Linked DNA regions of Daphnia pulex. The protein of the gene in region 2 interacts with the protein of the main gene of each other region in a biochemical or structural test. Links are inferred from orthologs where the notes say so. Each region holds a gene or a part of one and is shown on either strand. Other genes may lie near its edges.

The links. The genes of interacting proteins can lie anywhere in the genome.
Region 1: of the proteins of cyclin-dependent kinase 1-like (region 2) and protein regulator of cytokinesis 1-like, one has a biochemical effect on the other in vitro, tested with the Homo sapiens proteins (2 studies listed by BioGRID). The link is inferred for Daphnia pulex from reciprocal best matches to the Homo sapiens genes CDK1 and PRC1.

What each region holds. Positions count from the first base shown.
Region 1 is NC_060020.1:1,303,135-1,307,727, forward strand, and holds the start of protein regulator of cytokinesis 1-like, read right to left. Parts: upstream 3,005-4,593; 5' UTR 2,892-3,004; exon of another isoform or gene 2,827-2,891; 5' UTR 2,814-2,826; coding exon 2,800-2,813; intron 2,727-2,799; coding exon 2,585-2,726; intron 2,527-2,584; coding exon 2,162-2,526; intron 2,087-2,161; coding exon 1,939-2,086; intron 1,892-1,938; exon of another isoform or gene 1,877-1,891; coding exon 1,712-1,876; intron 1,651-1,711; coding exon 1,411-1,650; intron 1,352-1,410; coding exon 1,220-1,351; intron 1,153-1,219; coding exon 994-1,152; intron 928-993; coding exon 781-927; intron 718-780; coding exon 592-717; intron 496-591; coding exon of another isoform or gene 442-495; exon of another isoform or gene 420-441; intron 219-419; coding exon 1-218. UniProt on the Homo sapiens protein: Key regulator of cytokinesis that cross-links antiparrallel microtubules at an average distance of 35 nM. Essential for controlling the spatiotemporal formation of the midzone and successful cytokinesis.
Region 2 is NC_060026.1:11,477,465-11,481,648, reverse strand, and holds cyclin-dependent kinase 1-like, read right to left. Parts: upstream 2,639-4,184; 5' UTR 2,488-2,638; intron 2,385-2,487; 5' UTR 2,254-2,384; coding exon 2,205-2,253; intron 2,140-2,204; coding exon 1,844-2,139; intron 1,784-1,843; coding exon 1,628-1,783; intron 1,566-1,627; coding exon 1,402-1,565; intron 1,334-1,401; coding exon 1,081-1,333; 3' UTR 861-1,080; downstream 1-860. Other genes in the region: eukaryotic translation initiation factor 3 subunit F-like, read left to right, coding at 1-182, 250-341, 400-650, 714-797; GATA zinc finger domain-containing protein 1-like, read right to left, coding at 3,374-3,537, 3,593-3,842, 3,927-4,184. UniProt on the Homo sapiens protein: Plays a key role in the control of the eukaryotic cell cycle by modulating the centrosome cycle as well as mitotic onset; promotes G2-M transition via association with multiple interphase cyclins.

The DNA.
Region 1 (4,593 bases), on a different chromosome or scaffold from region 2:
GCCATTATCGAATGTGATTTCGAGCGTCGATACATGGGGTGTTGTGTGCGGTTGGGTTGAGGTGTTAAGGTCGGCGCGGCGGCTGCAGCCAAACGTGTAGATCGACGGTGCGGTAATGTTGATGGCGTCGCGTTTCCACGACTTGATGATGGTGTGTTACAATCCATCAAAACCGTGGAGTTTACACACTTCGCTTGCCTAGCTTTTTGTAACGTCTCCTATAAAATAAACGAAAAACAGAATGTTAGAATATAATCCATTTGAAAAAATATTTCCCAAGCAAGCTACTTTCAAAACTAGATTGTAACAAACAAACATGGCGGTCCAAAAAATTTCAAAACTACAAGTGTGTGTATGGGGTGTGCGTAACGGAATCAACAGACGCTACGTGAGATTCTGGCGGAAAAAAAACGTTTTACTTGAATAAAAAAACACACATCTTCAATAGTTTTGGTTTGGCGAGCTGGCACCCTGTATGCGAGCAGCTACGTTTTCCTGCATTATGAAGCAATTGAAGCATTTGGACAGTACGAGAAGAAGTCTTTTGAAACGTAAAAGACACACACGTCAGGTGGTCTTGTCAACACTTACTGTAAAAACAGAATAAGTAGACATGACCGAAACGTCATGATCACTGGGCGTCGCATGAGGAGGCTGATTGCCAATTGCTTCAGTCAAGATCCGGCGACCAGGTCCCAGTCGTGCCTGAGGAGCCGTCTTTCCCAAACAAACATTCTGTCAGACTCGATTAACATAAGACTAGTTTGAAGAAATTCTTACCGAGGGCACCAATAGTTTCCTTTGCTTGGATTTTGGTGACTCCATCTGTGTGCGAATGGCAGTTGTCCCCAAGCGCCGTTTCATCGGTGTGTTGGGCTTAGCTCCTCCTTTGGCTTCTTCGACCAGTTTGTCGGCACGCTCTCGTTGCTAAAAATATTTTTAAAAAAAGTATGAATATTTTAAGCAACTTAAGAAAGATTCATTTCAGATTACCCTTTGGAGTTTTTCGTGCTCTTTTTGCTCCTCGTAGTTGACCCACTGGTCTACGACAACCTGACGATAGTCTTGGCCATCAATAAGCAATACTTGCCCATTTGTCCGTTCATAGTTATTGATCAACTCGGTCAGTTGGGCCTCTACCCGAGGGAGTTCCTGTTATTTATTTTAAAAAAATGTTCTGTGTAGCACATAATGATTTTACATCAAATGCTTTATCTACCTTCATTATCTTGGTGCGTTCTTTTTCTTCCTGCAAGAGCGCACATCCACGATTACCGAACAATCTAGACGGATCTTGTCCACGGGCCTCGATATCCTCCATGCGTTTCCATAAGTTCTCTCGATGATGAACCTAATGACAACAGATCATAATTAAGCGTACAGGAATTGACAAGTTGAAATTTAAGTTACCTTCGTGAATATGTCTTTATAAGACGTATGCAGCTCCTTGTACCTTTCTACCTGAGCTTCATGCAATTCAAGTAGATCTTCGGTGTATACTTCAGCATAAAATGGGGTAAAGTTGCGACGCTCGGCGTCCGAAACATAGCAGCGATCCCACCAACCAATCAAATCTTGTCTTACTGAATGAATAAACCTTTCGATATTTTGTCGTTTAAGGTCTTCCAAACGAGTTAGTTCACGTTCCAACTGTGAAATTAAAAACTTTGCATAAGTTTATTTTACTTAAGGGAAATTATCTAAAACATACTGTTGTGACGGTGGATGGAGCAAATCCACGATTCTGCATGTGAAATATTTCGCGAACATCCGGTTCAACACTGAGTCTCTCCCACAATATTTCAATGGTATTCCACATATCAGTTACTTTCTTCTGATTTTTTTCAATCCGAGAAATCAACCCTTGTTGGATGTCCTAGAATGTGAAAAGGTATACATTATTTACTGGTTCAACATAGAAAGTTAACCAAAACATACCTTGATTTTATTCAAATCAGTTTCTGACAACGATACGCTTTGCGGATCGCTCACAAGAAGATCCATTTCAAAAGGATTCCGTGCTGACATTTCTAATTGTGCCATGGAGTTCTTAATCGAATCTCTCATACTAACAAACTGTCCTTGCCTACACATTTATCATTAAGAAAAGAATTATAATTAGAATGTAGAAACTGTTTTGTAGCATTCAGGTTGTACTTACCGTTTTATGATTTCTGTTTTTAGGTCGTTGATAGCTTGTTGCAACTTGCCGTACTGGTCACTACTTGGAATTCTGTCTCGATTGAGGGAACAGCGTTCTGCATTCAATCTAGAACACAACACATCCTCTTCTTGAAACAGAGCTCTCACTGCTCTCATACGCTCCTCCTTTTCTCTGTTTAATGCAGTTAAGGTCTCTTGTAGCTGTTTCTCCATTTCTAGAAGTGGCATCTCTTCCCCAAATTCTCTGTAATGGGTACCTAACTCTTTACAAAGTTGGTGGTGTTGTCTTCCTAGACGATCAATGCTGCTCACTATCTTTTTCTTGTTAATCTGCTCTTCTTCAAGCATGGAATCCCATAATTCCTGCAATGGACAAAGAACATTTAAACTCAGAAAATAATTATGTGACCAAAGACTTTACTTTGTGATGAGAAACTGCTGTTTTGAAACGCTCTTGGCTTTTACTTTGAGGAAAGCCCAGTTGCTTCCAGATTTGGACCATTTTCGGAATTACATTTTTTAAAACTTGCGAGCCTTCTTTCAGGAACTCGTCCTCGAACGCCCTTGATAAAGAAGAATGAATCAAGTTAATTCCACCTCTTCAGAAAAAAGAAAACCTGACCAAACCCAACTTACTTGTCAACAGACATGTTGAATAAAAGCCTGTTACACAAAAAACTATAAAATTACTAATCTGTTACTGAACCTGACTCAAATCATTCACTCACAAAACGCCGATGCTGCCTTACTCAGTTACTTACTTACAGTTACTGGCACAATCGTCGGTTTGAAAAAAGGGGAATGGAAAAATTGAGAGGGTGAGAGTCGACTTCTGTGGTTGGTTAAAATGCTCTCACTAAATGTCTTGCCATTGGGTACATTTGAACATGCGCTGTTGCCGGTTTCTGCTTAATGTTACATCCGCCAGTTCTTTTTGAATTCCTTAATCTTTTCGGTTTTTTTAACTACATTTTAACTACACACGTAAAAATATTTGTATTAATAGTCTGACTAAATGATACCGTACATTCCTTCATTAAACATCTCTTGTTACTAATAGGAACTTGTTACGTTAATAGGAAAAACCGAAATCAAATGTTACCATTTTGCATTACATTACAATGGCGTTTCAAAAAATAATAGACAAATGGCACCTTTTAAATAAATTTTGTCTATACAAATAACAGCTATTCAAATAGCGGATATGTGATATATGTATTCATTTAGTTTATTGAACTCTTTAGAAATTTCTAAACTGGCTCCATATGAGACTAGTCGTCGTCCCTTGCAGAGAAAACAGAAAAAAAAACACAGGTGTTTGAAACAGTGAGTCAGTGAGAGTGCTGTGGCAATAGGTATATATATCACACTGACACCACGCACCACACACCAGTCGTTAACAAAATGCGTTCCATGTTGATTTTGCTCTGCTTCGTCCTTGCAGTCGCCTTCCTTGGTAATCGTTTTTTTTTTTTAATGTTATTTTAACAACTGCATCATTGTTTTCTCCTTTACAGTGGAGGCTGAAGATGTCACCGTCGGTAAAGATCCATGTACTTGGGGTCCATCTTTTTGGTGCGCTAGTAGCGAAAATGCTGCAAAGTGCGGATCTGAGGTTGTATATAACGATTGCTAAAATTTAAAGTACTGAATTTTAATTGGTTTTCTGGGCATTATAGGCATTTAAGTATTGCGAAAGTGTCAAGTGGAATGTCGAGTAGAGAACATTTCCGCGACAAAGGCCTGCATTATTATTCTATATTAACAGACATGCATTTCCGGTGAATGGATAATGGGGATTTACATTTTTAGCAATTGCATTGGTCATTTATCCTGTTTTGGACCGTTGTTACGCGTTAAGAACGGTGAAACAAACAAAAATCTAGTTCAACAATTTTATTCTCTTTTGTATACCACTTTTCTATTATTAATAAACATGAAATAGTCTTTGATTGATACAATGCTTCCATTTGTAGGTACGGGAAGTTGACAATAAATTATCTAACACAAATAAATTAAAACTTCCCGTGGTTTTCATTTATTTAATCCCATATATAGCTGAAAATAATGTTATTTAAAGCGTTCTCTTTTCAGTGTTACTCTGGAAAATAGAACTTTGCGTATTTCAAACGAAATATGAGGACCTTTATACTAATCTACTGTACACTTTATTTTAAAAAATAAACAGCACATGCGCATCGTCATCTGGTCTAAATGTTTCAAAAACTAAATAGAACATTCTAGAATATGACAACCGTTGAATAAAAACCCCACCTATATGTCGGAGCAACAGGTGTCAGAAAAAGTGAGTCAGTGGGAATGGGAACCAGGTGTGCCACCACTCACCAGGTCTGCGCTAACACACCAACACCAGTCGTCTTTCATAAAATGTACGTCACCTTTTGATAATCTCGAGTCTCGTGTCTATTG
Region 2 (4,184 bases):
GACTTGCATCGTAAAGTTAATCCCCAAGAAAGCATTGTAGGTTGGTGGGCAACTGGTACTGGAGTCACATCTCACTCTGCTCTTATTCATGAGTACTACTCCAGAGAGTCCTCCAATCCTGTTCACATTACAGTGGACACCACATTGCAAGATACCCGTATGGGAATCAAAGCTTATGTCAGGTACATGCTATTAATTCAGTATGATACAATTGCTTTGAAAAATAATTATCTTTAAATTATCATCTAGTGTCCCAATGGGTATCACAGGCAAAACTATGGGATGCATGTTTGCTCCTGTTTCTGTTGAGATAGCATGCTATGACCCAGAAACTATTGGATGTAATTATAATAGAAAATGTGTATGTATACTGGGAATTAATCTTTGATTGTTTTTCAGTAAATGCCTGCCAGAAAACCAAAACCTCGGTTAAACGTCAAGCGGGCATCGCTTCGGATCTTACTCAGATTGTTGAAGCCTCGCAGCAGATGGAAAACATGCTGGACACTATCTTGGCTTATGTTGACGACGTAATGAGTGGCTCCAAAACGGCTGACAACACGTTTGGTCGTTCTCTATTAGATATGGTTCATTCGGTACCTAAAATGACACCCGACGAATTTGAAGAGATGCTTAATTCAAACCGAAAGGTAGAAAACATTACCCAATATTTACTTATTTAATCTAATTTTTGTAAAACTTTATTAATTTAGGATTTATTGATGGTATTATATCTATCACAACTTACCAAGACTCAACTGTCGCTGAACGAAAAACTCACATTGTTGACAATTTAATTCAGAACGTTGATATAAAAAATAAAAATGAACATCTCCCAATTAAATTACAATTTTCTGATGTAGTCCTCGTGAGCATATTTATTAGGAAACTATAGTATACAGTCACACGTACACAAGGGGGAAGAAAATTTCTTCGCTACCAAGGAAAAGAATCACACCCATCTTCTCTCAGAGAGCAAAAAAAATGATGATTAGGAAAAGCGAAAAACAGAATTTCAAGAAACGACCATCAGGAAGTTGGCCAGGTTTAGTAGCTATCGTTTACATGAGGAATGCTTAATTAAGCAGGCACATTGGTGGGTAAGATAGATTTATCCAGATCGGTAAACCAAGCATGATCTAAAGCATCCTGAGCCGTGATACGAAGGGCTGGATCGTAAATGAGAGTTTTTTGAAGCAGATCAAATCCAATCGAGTCAAGTTGCTTCACGGAATTTTGAAGGTGGTAAGTATTCCAATTAGGGAAAGTAGGTTTATAGTCGGGCATTTTTGAAACGCCTGGCCACATTTCCTCCGTGGGCGTCTTCATTACTCTGTGTTTCAAATAAAATAGGAACAAATGTAATTTTAAAAATAAAAAAAAAAGGACAAGTAACACTACCGGAAAATACGGTAAAGCTGATCAATTTCCGAATCTCCTTGGAACAATGGCTTTTTCGTTATCATTTCAGCCATAATACAGCCAACCGACCACACGTCTATGGGGCACGAATATCTTGATGACCCAAGCAATACTTCAGGAGCACGGTACCATAGAGTAACAACCTTCGTGAGTTCAAAAGAATTTATAGTATACGTCCATGCATTGGGAACCTTCTTTCCTTTACCTCGTGAGTGTAGACACGAACGGGAACTCCAAATACGCGCCCAAGACCGAAATCAGCTATCTTAATAATTCCGTTTTTATCGATGAGTAAGTTCTGGGGCTTCAAATCTCTATGCAAAACTCGACGTCTATGACAATATAAAATGCCTTCCAAAATCTAGAGGGAAAATATAAATCAGGCCAATATATAAATGAGTCCTAAATCTTCTAAGCAAACCTGGTGGCAATAAGACTTAACAAGAGTTTTATCCATCAACTGCCCAGTTGGAATGCTGTCCATGTACTTTTTAAGGTCCATTGACAGGAACTCAAAAATTAAATACAGCTTTCCTTCTTGCATCAAAACATCCTCCAGACAGACGATATTGGGATGTAGCAGCTCTTTCAAAAGTGATATCTCCCTGATGGCTGTCGAAGGAACACCATCATCTTCATTTTCAAGCCTGATTTTCTTCATGGCAACAAATTGTTGAGTCTTACGGTTTTTAGCCTTGTAGACAACACCATAAGTACCTTTGCGAAACAAAAGTTTTAAAATCAGTTCAAGTTACACAGCTTAGTGTACCAGGGATCATTACCTTCACCGATCTTTTCTATTTTGGTAAAGTCTTCCATTGCAGAAGGCATCACTATTGTTTGTTAAGAAACAAGAACAAAAACCAAAAAGTGTGAAGAATTGAAATCTCGGGAAAGTAACGGAAATTTGAAGTCGAATGGCAGCAAACAAAAACTGGAGTGACGTATTCTTCGTATTCCACCTGCAAATCAGATTGTCATCAATTGATTCGTAAGACTCTTGCATAAAATATTTCGTTACACGATAAACAGAGAATAATCTAACAAAGTAAAGAAAGTTCGTACCCAACGTGTTTCCACAGACTCGACTTTAAAGGAAAAGGTGAGCACACTTGGATGTCAAAGAGACGGTGGCGGCCGTTGGACTAAGGAATGTAACCGCCAAATTTTGAAACGACTTCATCACTTCACAGAATCACGGCCCTCTATGGGTGATAATCAGAAACCCATTGGACAAAATGGATGTATTTGACGAACCTACTATACGATTTCGAATTTGTTATAGTTCTTTTAAACTTTTTTAAGGTTTTGAATTAAAACTCAAATTAAAATAACAAATTCCCGCTGGTGATTTCAAGTTATAATTGTCTATTAGTTCGAATGACGCTAGTATTATGAATGAATAAAAACCCATACAACTTATACAAGTTTGAAAAACTCATTAACATTATCGATATTATTTTTAAATATCATTATATTTTAAATGAACTGTTTATTACCACTATAATCGAAACATTTTTACCGGTAGACTAGAAAATATTTCAGCTCAAAATTTCAGCACAAAATAATTTCTAAAAACATTGTTACCCGCAAGGCAAGCCGTAATGCAGGAATGGTCAAGTATTATTTTTAAGAAAGCCGTGCAAGCAGGTAAAAAAATCTTCTATAATTTCCGACATGTAATTTTCGAAAATATCTTACTAAAATTGTGAAAACTCTTAAAAATTTAGAAAAGAACACTTAAAACAGATCAAACAATTTAATTTACTCTTCCTCCGAATTTCAGTGAGGTAGCAGAACATGTGACAAATATTTTTAGTTACAAACTTCAGAAATGATGGAATTGTTTTACAAACGAATCTGTAATGGCATTAAAAGACACAAAGAACAAAAGAGCCGGCTGCCTTGGTCTTTCTATTCTACTATAAACGGATGATCCTGGTGGAATTTTTCATGAATGAATAGTTCTTCGTACGGCACCCATACTTGTCCAAATATAGCCAGCTTCTTTTTCACTAGACACTCGAACATTTTCATCCAGTTTGTAATATTCGTTCGGCGCATGCATTACGAAATCAAGATAATCCAGCTTACGTGGCAATTCTTCTTCAGGACCTAAACCAAGACTGTTTTAATGCTGTACAGAAAAAAAAATATAAAATTCACATACCTAAAATATATGTCTGTGGATCAAATCCCACATCTGGGGGTGGTGAACTTTGAGTTGGGATGAGCCAAGTTAATACAGCACTTTTTTCACAAAATTGGTCTTGCAGAAGCCCACGAATTTGTGCATAATAAACTCCATCATCTTCATCTGTGACTGAAACTATGTCCCCCACTTGATAATAAATGTCATGATGAAACAAATGCCCACTAGTAAAAGAGGTAGAAGCAACAGTGGGGGCTTTAGATGGTAGCTAAAATTTAAAAAGGAATAATTTATAAAAAGTTATTGGAAAAATCTATTTAATTTTTCTATCAAATTTATGGATTTGTTTAACCTGTTTCTTGAAAACAGCTCTTCTTCCACGTCCTTTGCCAACTGTTGCTTTATTGGCAGTTCCTAGTTTCTTGCTTCTTCCACGTGTCTTTTTTGTTCCTGTGCGTCCACCTCTACTGTTTGAAGTTGTGTTTCCTGACCTGGTCCCTGGGCCAAATTCATTACGTGGCTTTATATCATCCACAAGTTCATCCACAACAACATCATCCACTTCAATAGTTTCATTATAAGCATCTTCTTCTTGAAATTTTATTTCTGG